3 linked regions of the Sus scrofa genome follow. The protein of the gene in region 3 purifies or fractionates together with the protein of the main gene of each other region. This does not show direct contact. Links are inferred from orthologs where the notes say so. Each region holds a gene or a part of one and is shown on either strand. Other genes may lie near its edges. The genes, in order: FBXW11, NFKBIB and NFKB2.

Region 1 (3,649 bases), on a different chromosome or scaffold from region 3:
TCCTGGCGGGGGGGGGGGGGGGCGTCTAAGGTTTTAATTCAGCCACGGCCATCTTGGGAGTCTGCTGCGGTAACGCCTCTTAGATGAAGGCAGTGTAATCTTTGACTGCATTAACTGCGATGTAGTGACACGTGCAAGAAGAGATAGTGGCCTCAGGGTAGTTGTAATCTTCATTATCACATCACAACCTGGGTGTTAGACCCAGAGCAGAGTCGGAGAGTTAGTGTGTGAGGCGCCTGTAAACCATAAGCAACAGTGTAAATAGTCATCTTAGGGATGAAAGAAATCTTGGTTTGGGAAGCATGTTTTATGCATCATCTCAGTTTGATATTTTCACAATAACGGCAGAGAATGTTGTCCCCATTTTATGCAGATGAGGAATCTCAGGCTCTGCGAGTTTAACGATTTACCGAGACCTGTCAAGTTAGTACTCTCCTGCTTCCGTTTATCTTAAAAGAGAACACATGTTAACCTTGAATGGTACTTTGTTGTCTTTAAAATCTTTTCATAGAACCTTATGGATTTTTGCAGATAGTGCCTACCATTTTATGTGGTAAAAAAAACAAGAGGCAGGGACGTTTCAGTAATTGTTTAAATATTTGTTTCGTGCTATAGAACTGCTGCATGGTGAACCTAGACCTGAAACTGGAATTTTCTAGCTATGTGTTTGGTGTTCCCACTCCTCCACAGAGAAGGCCTGGGGATGACCTCTGTTTCTTGTAGCTGCAGAGGAGATGCCTAGAACCCACAGGATGGGCGTTTGCGGGCAGCCGCTCTGTTGACCACAGGGATCTTCTTTACCTCGTCACCTTTGTGACGGGCACATGTCAGGCAAAGGCTGGATAGTGGTTGTCTTTGAGAGGATACGTGCATTGTGTAGGGTAAACCTCTTAAGGTTCGAATTTTTAGGCACGCGGTTCATGTTTTGAGGATTTTACCTCTGTGAGAAGATGGAGAAATGATTGGCAAAAATCAGAGTACACCTAACTTAATTCTTGGATTGTCGTTTAATTTTTCATAAGCTTTTTCAGATGCGTCCGCGTTTTACCTTTTTGTCTCTTTAACTCGAAGCAATTCACTAGGTCAGGATTAATAGGATGATCTAGTAAATCAGAAGGGAAAGAACACAAACTTGTGCAGCAAAAGATTAGAATTCTAGTCTCGGCTTCACTTATAGTTACAAGACCTTGACACCTTTTGCCTCTCTGCCTCATCTGTTACATTTGGGCTGTCATTACCCCATAGAGTTATGTAATTAAAAAAAAAGAAAGAAAGAAAGAAAAGAAATCTTTTGTTATAATATCTGACAAACATAGAATGGTCCAGGATTGACTTCCACATAGGAACTGTTGCCGTCAGTTGTTTCGTCTTAAAAAACCAGAACCCAAAAGAAGTGTGTGTGTGTGTGTATGTACTCATGCACTTGTGTATCTGCAGAACTTTTGATCTTACTCAAGCACATCTCCCAGTTCAGGATTTCTTTATGCCTCTTACCTTTAAGGAAACGGTCACTGGTACTACATTTGCATCTCCCTTCCCATTCCTTCACTGCCCTTTCTGTTTTGTAGAGCAAGGCTTAGATCACATAGCAGAAAACATTCTTTCCTACCTGGATGCCAGGTCTCTGTGTGCAGCAGAGCTGGTGTGTAAAGAATGGCAGCGAGTGATCTCCGAAGGCATGCTGTGGAAGAAGCTGATCGAACGAATGGTGCGCACTGACCCTCTATGGAAGGGACTTTCAGAAAGAAGAGGGTGGTAAGTATTTGGATTATATATTCTCGCGAAAAAAGGTTCTCTGATTACTAAAAAAAAAGCAGTTATACTTACCAAATGTGTTGGCCTATCTTAAAGCAAATGGGAAGAGATGAGTGGTCAGGAGTCAGGGGCAGAAAGTTAAAGTTGTTAAAATAACCCCTTCTGAAATGCGTATTTCCTCTATATCAGTTAGGATAGATAGGTTCTATTTCCTCTATATCCGTTAGAAAGTATTGGATAATTTGAATGAGTGATTGGGCTTTTCAAAGCTATGTGAATATGCTTCTCCTTTCACCTTTTCCTGAGGTGCCGCTACCATTACCAAAAGATAGATGAGAACGAGAAAACACGAGAAAATCAAATAATGCAGTTTTGCTGTTAGATGTATTGCCCTTGGTTGAAGACGGGAGGTAGAGCGGGTGGGATTTTTCCGAGGCAACCTTATCTGATGTACAGCTTCGTTTCGTAGCTCCTAGCTCCGTAGCTCCATACCTGTCAGGGACCGCGCGCAGCCAGCGCGGACAAAGAGAGCGTTGCAGGTAGCTAGTGGGGTGAGTGATGGTTAGGGCTGTGTTGTCTTTCCTTATGGGAAGAAGTTTGGTGTGTACTAACTTCGATTTTTCTCAAAGCTGCATTAATGCTTTTTGTTAAACTATAGAGGGAAAGGCGAGGTTATTGTGTTGAGTATTAAGAAAATGAAAGATTAGGATCATGTTAAGTGTAAGCGGAAGTAAACGTCTGTCTAACATGAACATTTAATTGTCACACATCCTGCTTTTGAACTGTTAAAGCTCAGTGCAAGTCAAAAGACTCGAAAGATACATCTTTGTAAGCACCACATTTCAATAAATTCAGCCTTTTATGTGCAAAAATGTAACATCTGTTTGTTTTTATTTGCCAGGGATCAGTACCTGTTTAAAAACAGACCCACAGATGGCCCTCCCAATTCATTTTATAGGTCATTATACCCAAAGATTATCCAGGATATAGAGGTAACTTTATGATTTATCTGTTTTATGGGCTCTTTGTGTTTTGTTCTCAACTTTTTAATGTTGCCTTAGAGTGTTCTGTTGATCTGAAATCATAGCATTAGTGAAAAAAAATTTTTTTAAGTTGAAGTCTTGGAGCAAATATGTCACAATGTGTAATCTGTAGCTATTTTTTAAAGTAGAAAAGGCTTTTTTTGTAGAAAATGATCTGACTTTTTAAAAACATGAAACGCTTCTGCAAGGCCGCCAGTTAATTAAAACCTTAATCAGAAATTGACTTTTTATTCTTATTTGATAAAATTTCCAAAATCCAAGCCCTAGTTTTTCAGCGAAGCATCATTTTACATTTTTGAGCCATCAGTAGAGATCTAGAGAAGGCACAGTCTCAGTTTCCTCGGTAGATTTCCCATAATTTTTCATTAAAATGACGCAGATATGATTCTAAACAATACTTAAGTGACTTTTCTAGAGCAGATTACGCTCCTGGACCATTTCAGATTCGAGTGTAACTTCCCTAGACCAGTAAACTCTGTGAACTTGATGAGAAACATTGGAGATGTTTGATACTGTTCTTGTGTTCTAATTAGTTTAGTTTTATTGTTTAGCCCTCTTGCTTGAACCAGGAAAGACATGCACAGGCATTTCTCATTAACTCTCTCACATGTGTTCTTGGCAGGTCTTAGTTACTTCACTCTTTCCTCCTTGGCAAAAAAGTTCAGCCTTTGCTAGGCAATGCTGTATCACCTATAAAGTTACACTCAGTTTCCCAAATGTGAAGTAATCCTCGCCCCCAGGTGATAGACATAAAAGTTATTGTGCCAAAATTCATTAATGGAGAAACATGTGTATCTTGGAGGCCCTTCCCCCTGCCTTCTTTTTAAGGCACATGTGAACTAATGACTCAT
Region 2 (3,716 bases), on a different chromosome or scaffold from region 3:
TGTGGTGTGTGTGTGTGTGTGTGTCGGGCAGGGTGGGGTTGGTTTCGGAGAAAAAGGAAGCAATAGGAGGGGACCCTGGCATCCTACAGTTGCTACTAACAACCAGGTACCCTTAGCAACCAGGACCGCGGCATCTTAAGTCCCTAGCAACGAGGGTCCTTGGCAACTAAGGTGCGAGAAACATGTGATCATTAGTAACTTGGGGGAAGTGGCAAACGGACCCTTAAAACCTAGCGACCCAGAAAGCCACCAATCTAGCAATATGGATCACTTGGCAACTGCCCCCGGAATCCCATTTTCCCCCCCATGCAACCCCCATCTCCTGCCCCACCAAGCCTGCCCTCGGGCCCCGGGGCCTACGACCCTCAGCTAGGCCCCGGTGCAGCCCTGCCCTCCCACCGGGGTCCCCGACTCACGATCCGGCTCGGCCATGGGCGCGGGGCGGGGGCCCTCGGGACTGTCACCGACTGCTCTGTCCCGTGACGGCACCGGAAACAGGAGGGGGCCGAGACAAGGCAGAGAACTACAACTCCCAGCAGCCATCGCGATCGCATATAATGCTCTGCACCGCGTACGGAGCGCGCCCCCACGCAAAGGCCGGACTACGAGTCCCAGAGGGCTCCACGTCCACAGCCATGCTGGTAAAGGACTCCGGGAAAGTGTGGGAAAAGGTAGAACGCCGTAGTCCACCTGAGTGCTCTGATTGGTCATCATGTGGCATGGGGGCGGGGCGTGTACTACTTAGCCCACCCTGATTGGATGAGTCAGGGGGGCGTGTTGGGGAATTCCCCGCAGGGCGGAAGCTCGAGAATTCCAGGCAGAGCCCAGCGACAGGCGGGCTGCCGCTGGGGGCCCCTGAGGCTTCGGGGGCCATGGCTGGGGTTGCGTGCTTGGGGAAAGCTGCGGACACCGATGAATGGTGCGACAGCGGCTTGGGCTCTCTGGGTCCGGACGCAGCGGCCCCCGGAGGACCAGGCCTAGGCGCGGAGCTGGGTCCGGGACTATCGTGGGCGCCCCTCGTCTTCGGCTACGTCACTGAGGATGGCGACACGTGAGTGAACCTTAGACTGACAAATCGGGCCCCAGGGTCCCACATCTCCAATCCTGACTTCCCAACCTTTCAATCCTAAATCTGTCTTTTGATGCTTGACTTCCTGACCCCAAGACTGGCCTCTGATAAAACCAACTTCTTATCTAATTTTGATCCTAACCCAATAATGTCTGGCCTTCCTTTCTTGAACTGATTCTCAGAGTTATGCGTTCATTGATCAGACCCACATTCAGTGATCGATTCCACATCCAAAACTCGATTTGACCTTCCTGACCCCAGTCCTTAGCCCTCTGTTAGAACTGTAGTTCAGACAGGCTCCTCCTGACCTTTATCCTCCAAATATGATCTTTGGTCCTCAGCGCCTAACTTACATGAGCCTTAGATTTTATTTCGAAATTAATACTTGGCTTTTGACTCCAGGATCCCACCTTCTGAACTCTGATCTTCAAAGCTTACATTCAAAGAGAAAATGGAAACTACATAACAGCAGGAATTCATCTATTAAACAAATAATCCAACACCTTCGACTTTCCAGGAACTGTTTTAGGTGTGGCCTAAAGGCAGGGAGGAAAGCCCAAAAAACATTTGTCTTGTGGAGCATACATTCTAGTGGGGGTATATAGACAGAAGGGCAGATAGACTGACAGGGAGGGAGGAAGGGTAGGAGGAAGAAAAAGGAAAGAAAAGGAGAGAGAAGGAAAGAGAAAAAAAGATACACAGACCTAAAGTAAGAAAGGGAGAGAAAGAAGAAAGGCAGGAAGAAACGAAGACAAAAATTAAAAAAAAAAAGAAAAATAGCATGTCAGACGTTAAGAAGTTCTTTGGAGAAAAATAAAGCAGGGAAGTGAGACAAGTAGATTATCTGGGGAGAACATTGCACATAGAGGGAAAAACAGTTGTAAAGGCCCAATTGAGGGAATGTACCTGGGGTTTTTGAGTATCGTGTTTACCGCTGTATCCCCAGTGACCCAGCAGCCCCTGACCCATAGGAGGCACTCAGGAAACAGTGATCTTCTCAAACAACCAGCTGTGGTTTCATTTATTTTCTCTTTTTCTCTCTTTTTGCTTTCTATTTTGTTGATCTCTGTTCTGACTTATTTACTTTCTTCTCTTATTTGGGGTTTAATTTCTTCTTTTTCTCGTTTTTTAAGATGGAAGCTGAGGTCATTGATTTGAGACTCTTTTTTTTTTTTTTTTTTACGCATATAAGTGATTCATGCTGTAAATTTCCCGGAGTAGTGCTTTAGCAGTATCTCACCAATTCTGATGTGCTGTGTCGTTTTTTGTCATTTTGTTTTGTTTTGCTTTTAAGGCCTACCTGCGACATACGGAAGTTCCCAGGCTGGGGTCAAATCGAAGATGCAGCTGCCGGCCTACACCGCAGCCACCGCAATGTGGGATCTGAGCCCTATGTGCGACTTAGACCACAGCTTATGGCAGTGCCAGATCTTTAACCCAGTGATCCGGGCCAGGGATTGACCACATCCTCATGGATACTGGTTGTGTTCGTTAACCACTGAGTCACAACAGGAATTCCATGATGTGTAGTGTTTTTATTTAATGCAATATACTTTCTAATTTCTTTTTTGATTTCTTCTTTGGTCATCGGATTCTTCAGAAGTATGTTATTCAGTTTCCATATCACAGGCATCTTTCTTTCATTGGCTTTTAGTTTAATTCTGTTGGGGATGGAGAGCCTAGCATGACTTGAATCCTTTCAGACTTTTTGAGACTTGTTTTAGGGCCAAGAATATAATGTGTGCATTTGAAAGAATGTGTATTCTGCTCTGGTTGGGTGTAGTGTTCTCCGAGTGTCAGTGTTTCCCTGGTTCTTTTGTTGCTCAAGTCTAGATTTCTACTTGTTCTGTCAATTATTGAGAGCCGGGTATTGAAATCTTCAACAATAATTGTGGATTCGTGGCTTTCCTTGTTGTGCTATCAGATTTTGCTTTGTGTAATTTGATGCTCTATTATTAGGGGCACAAATATTTAGGATTATTAAGTCCTCTTGTTTCACTGACCTCTTTGTCGTTATGAAATAACCTTCTCTAGCCCTGGTAATGCTTCTTGCTCTGAAATCTACTCTGATATTAAAATACTTACTTCTGTTTTCTTTTGAATGACTGGTGTTACCATGGAATATCTTTTTATACCCTTTAATTTTAACCTATTTTAAAATTTATATTTCAAGAGTGTTACAGGCAGCATATAGTGGGTTTTGCTTTTTTTTTTTTTTTTTTGGCTGTGCCTGTGGAAGTTCCCGAGCCAGCAACTCAACTCGAGCCACAGCAGTGTGGCACAATGACAGTGCTGGATCCTGAATCTGCTGCACCACAAGAGAACTCGAGGTTTACTTTTTTATTCATTCTGACAGTTTCTGTCTTTTAATTGCAGTGTTTAGACTGTTTGCATTTAACTTAATTATTGAAATGGTTATGTTTATCTTGTTTTTAGCTTTTTTGCTTATCTCTTTTACCTTTTTCCTCTTTTTCTGCCTTTTAGAATGAGCAAATTTTGTTCCATTGTGTTTCTTTTGTTGGCTTATTAGCTCTAACTCTTTGTTTTTTATTTTCGTGGTTGCTCTGAAAGACCAATAGTTGGCAAACTGGTTTCCAGACAAAGTCCAGCCAGCTACCTGCTTTTGCATGGCTGTGAGCTAAGAATA
Region 3 (3,749 bases):
GCATGAGCACGAGGCGGGTCACTGTGTGTTACCAGGTCCACCTCGATCTTCGCTGGTCCCTCATAGTTACAGATCTGTGAGGGGTGAGGGCTGTCAGTAATGTTTATGGACATTGTCCACGAGTCACCCCTGCCCCCCCCAGCACCATCCAGGCTCACCTTGACAGTGGGATAAGTCTTCCGGCCCTTCTCACTAGAGGCACCTGGCAGTCCTCCATGGGAAGGGCCTTCGCAGCCATATCGGAATCGGAAGCCTCGCTGAAGGTGCCAGGGCAGAGTGACATTGTGACCATGAGGCCCCCAAACCCCCCTCCCCTGCTACCAGCCAGCAGTGACCATAATAATTGCATGTATCTATCCTGAATTCACAACCATACTGCTGTGATCAGCAGCAACCAACCACCTCAACCCAAGTGGGTCTGTGGTCACCATGGCCACCCAACTATCCCACTTGCCCCCAAAGCTGAAACCATTCCATGCCATCTCTTTCACTCACCTGCTTAGGCTGTTCCACGATCACCAGGTAGGGGCCATCAGCTGGGGACAGAGGGACTTTGTTGAGCCAGGACTTCTGAGTCCATTCCCAAGGCAGAGGGCACATGTTCCTCCCTCCAAGACAAGGGGAGGTCGGGGGACTTACTAACCTGTCTCTGGGGCCGGCTCCTTGGGCTCCACAATGGACGGGTTGAATTTGAAATCATCATATTCGATGATGCCAGGCAGACTCTGCTGTGGAGACAGACTGGGGTAGCATCTGATTCTGAGCCACTCTCGGGGCCCTCCAGCTCTCAGCTCTCCAAGCCCTCCATAATCACTCCTCCTCCCCAGGCCCATAAAAGAAAACTCCTATTGGAAGCAGTTTGCAGACAGAGGTAACTGACAGGCAGGCTGAGATAATCTAAGGACATTACAGGTGCAGGCAGACAAGCAGACAGGCACAGGGGGCAACCGGCCGGCTTTGGGGCCAGGCAAAGTGACTCACTGGGTCGTAGCAACTGTCCATGTCTCTGGGCTAGGCCCAGCTCTGTCCGGTGGCTCCGGCCGGCCGGGTGCTGTTTCCCCGGAGTTTCAGGCGCCCGCCTTAGGTGGGGAGGAGTGGAGGGGTTGGGAGAGAAAGATCAGGACGGGAGTTGGGGGGAAAGGGGGGGCCTGGATTTAGGGGAGGGTCTGATCTCCAGCCACCCGTCCGGGTGTGGCGGGCAAGATCCGGTGGAGGGCAAGATCCGGAGCTGGGCTGGGCCGGGGAAGGGCAGGAAAGTTAGAACAGCTTAGGAAAGTCCCGAAAATACCAGGGGGAGGCGGGGCCGGAGGGGGCGGGCCTGGAAATGACGCACTGGCCACGCCCCCGAGACGGGAGGGGCTCAAGGTCTCAGTTGGCTTGCTAGCGCCCGCAGCGTCTCCGCGAAGTCGAGGGGCTACCAGATGCTGGGAAGGTCCCGCGGGGCTGGGCACCCCTTCCTCCTCCCTCCAGGGCAGGCGCCGGGGACGGGAGGGTCTTTCAAAGCTGGGGGAGGCTCCTAGTACGGGGTCAGGTCCGCCTCCTTCCCTCCCCCGTCCTGGAGCAACCTTGGGATTTTCTACCCCGAGTGAGGCCACGGCTGAATCACCCTGGGGGCTTTTGGGGGGACATTCCTGCAGTAGGAAGGCCTACTCCCCGAAGGCCTGTAGGTGGGGGCTCTTCCCAGTGAGGGGCCCCGGGGCTCTGCCCGGATAACTGGTCTCTGGGGCCCTGGGGCGGGGGAAGGAAAGGGTCTCCTTGGGATGGGCTCCCCTGTTACCCCTCCCGAAAACATCTCAACAGCCGTTAATTCCCACACTGCACCTACTCTGGCTGCCTACGCCCTACGCCCCAGTCCCAAAGCCGTGTGTAATACATGTATGCATCTGCATCATAGGTGTACAAGTGTGTTTCGGCCCATGTGCTTGCGTGTTGTGTGTTCATGGCTTGAACATGCGTATACAGGTGAGTGTCCTTAAACTTCTCAGTGCGGAAACATCTGAGCATGTATGTAAGAGCACAGGTGAACACATCTTCGAGTTTGTGCGTGAAGGGTATGGGTCCAGGCACCTGTGCACGGTGTGCGTGTTTTGCGGGTCCTTGTGTGAGCGAGTCTGCATGGATAGTGCTGTGCACACGCCGGCATATGTGAAGGTGTAACAAACGGCCCGCCTGTCTTTATACAAGGACATCAGTGTGTATGCGTGTATCTTGATCGTGTGCGTGCTCTCTGTGAGTGTGCAGACGCCTCTCTTCAGCCCTTGGGCTCGGTCAGCTAAGGGTCCTCCTCCCGCCCTTCCCCGTGTCCTGCCACCCAGGGGTCTGAACCCGGCCACTCACCGCTGCGGCGGCTCAGGTTCCGGATTCTCTCCCGGCCCGACCCACCCCGGACGGGTCGCGACACCTTTCCAGCTACCAGGACTCCAGCCGGGAAAGCCCCTTTTCCGCCCCAGGAGGGGGGAATTCCCGTGACGTTTCCGTGCGTCACTCCCCATGCCGTTTTTCATTGGCTGAAAGTTTAACTCCGGACTCGAGTAACCAATCGCAAGTGACTCAGGCGCGCCCCTTAGAGGGGAAATATTTGCTCAGCGCGCGAAGCGAGAGTGAGGATGGCCCTCAATCAGGTGTGAGTTTTGTCCTAGGGACCAGCCTGCTGCGGGATCCGCTGACCCAGCGCCATTCCCCAGCCGAGGACCGCGGCTCCGGTCTCCTCTCTTACCCTGGCCTGTCCCAGCCGGCTGGCAGCCCCTGCTGCTACTCAGCTTATGTTGCATCTAATGCTTGGCCACCTCAGAAGCCGGGGAATCCCAAGGGGAAGCTGGAGGGACCCAGCCCTCTGGTCCCTCGCTTCGAGCGGGGGCCCCGCTGCCGGGAAGAGTTAGGGGAAGAGGAAGGAAGTTGATTTGCAGTTGGTGCCAGAGCGCCATCTGGTGGCCGCTCTGGAGCCTCGAGGAGACTCCGTAATCTCAGTCTTCCCTGGAAGAGGCAATCTGGACCTAAAACTTGTTCTATAAAGTTTTTTGTTTTTTGTTTTTTTTTTTTTTGCGGGGTGGGGGGCAAACTTTCAGACCTGATCAGGAGCTCCGCGTTGGGTAAGAGAAACGAGGTGTTTATCTGGGAGACTCAGGCCTTGTTCATCATTCACAGAGATTTGGAATATCAGAATAGAAAAGCCATCCAAAATTAGTTCAAACTTCGCCAGAGTAGAAAATTATCTTTTGTACTGTTTGCAGTGTCTGCTACTCCCTCCTCGTCCATCTTACTGCTTCCTCCCTCCCCCTTGATAACCACAGGTCTGATCTCTATGTCTGTGAGTCTGTTTTTGTTTTGTAGATATTTGCCATATTTTAGATTCCACGTAATTGATGTCATATGGTATTTGTCTTTCTCTTTCTGACTTACTTCACTTAGTATAAGAATTTCTAGTTGCATCCATGTTGCTGCAAATGGTATTATTTCGTTCTCTTTTATGGCTGAGTAGTATTTCATTGTATATATGCACCACATCTTAATCCATCCATGTCGATGGACACTTTGGTTGTTTCCACGTCTTGGCTATTGTGAATAGTACTGCAATGAACCTAGGGGTGCATGTATCTTTTATTTTTTTATATGCATGTATCTTTTTGAATGAAAACTTTGTCTGGATATATGTCCAGGAGTGGGATTGCTGGATCATATGGGAGTTCTGTATTTAGTTTTCTGAGGAACCTCCATACTGTTTTCCATAGTGGTTGTAACAATTTATATTC

What was found.
Region 1: the proteins of NFKB2 (region 3) and FBXW11 purify together in Homo sapiens (affinity purification with mass spectrometry; 8 studies listed by BioGRID and IntAct, with this or other methods). This does not show direct contact. The link is inferred for Sus scrofa from reciprocal best matches to the Homo sapiens genes NFKB2 and FBXW11.
Region 2: the proteins of NFKB2 (region 3) and NFKBIB purify together in Homo sapiens (affinity purification with mass spectrometry; 4 studies listed by BioGRID and IntAct, counting the BioPlex papers as one, with this or other methods). This does not show direct contact. The link is inferred for Sus scrofa from reciprocal best matches to the Homo sapiens genes NFKB2 and NFKBIB.

Annotation. Positions count from the first base shown.
Region 1 is NC_010458.4:52,302,878-52,306,526, forward strand, and holds part of FBXW11 (F-box/WD repeat-containing protein 11), read left to right. Parts: intron 1-1,568; coding exon 1,569-1,755; intron 1,756-2,656; coding exon 2,657-2,747; intron 2,748-3,649.
Region 2 is NC_010448.4:47,702,869-47,706,584, forward strand, and holds the start of NFKBIB (NF-kappa-B inhibitor beta), read left to right. Parts: upstream 1-775; 5' UTR 776-872; coding exon 873-1,051; intron 1,052-3,716. Other genes in the region: SIRT2 (NAD-dependent protein deacetylase sirtuin-2), read right to left, coding at 417-432. UniProt on the Homo sapiens protein: Inhibits NF-kappa-B by complexing with and trapping it in the cytoplasm.
Region 3 is NC_010456.5:113,405,122-113,408,870, reverse strand, and holds the start of NFKB2 (nuclear factor NF-kappa-B p100 subunit), read right to left. Parts: upstream 2,460-3,749; 5' UTR 2,338-2,459; intron 1,963-2,337; exon of another isoform or gene 1,440-1,962; intron 1,308-1,439; exon of another isoform or gene 1,080-1,307; 5' UTR 1,003-1,079; coding exon 982-1,002; intron 729-981; coding exon 644-728; intron 537-643; coding exon 496-536; intron 258-495; coding exon 159-257; intron 75-158; coding exon 1-74. UniProt on the Homo sapiens protein: NF-kappa-B is a pleiotropic transcription factor present in almost all cell types and is the endpoint of a series of signal transduction events that are initiated by a vast array of stimuli related to many biological processes such as inflammation, immunity, differentiation, cell growth, tumorigenesis and apoptosis.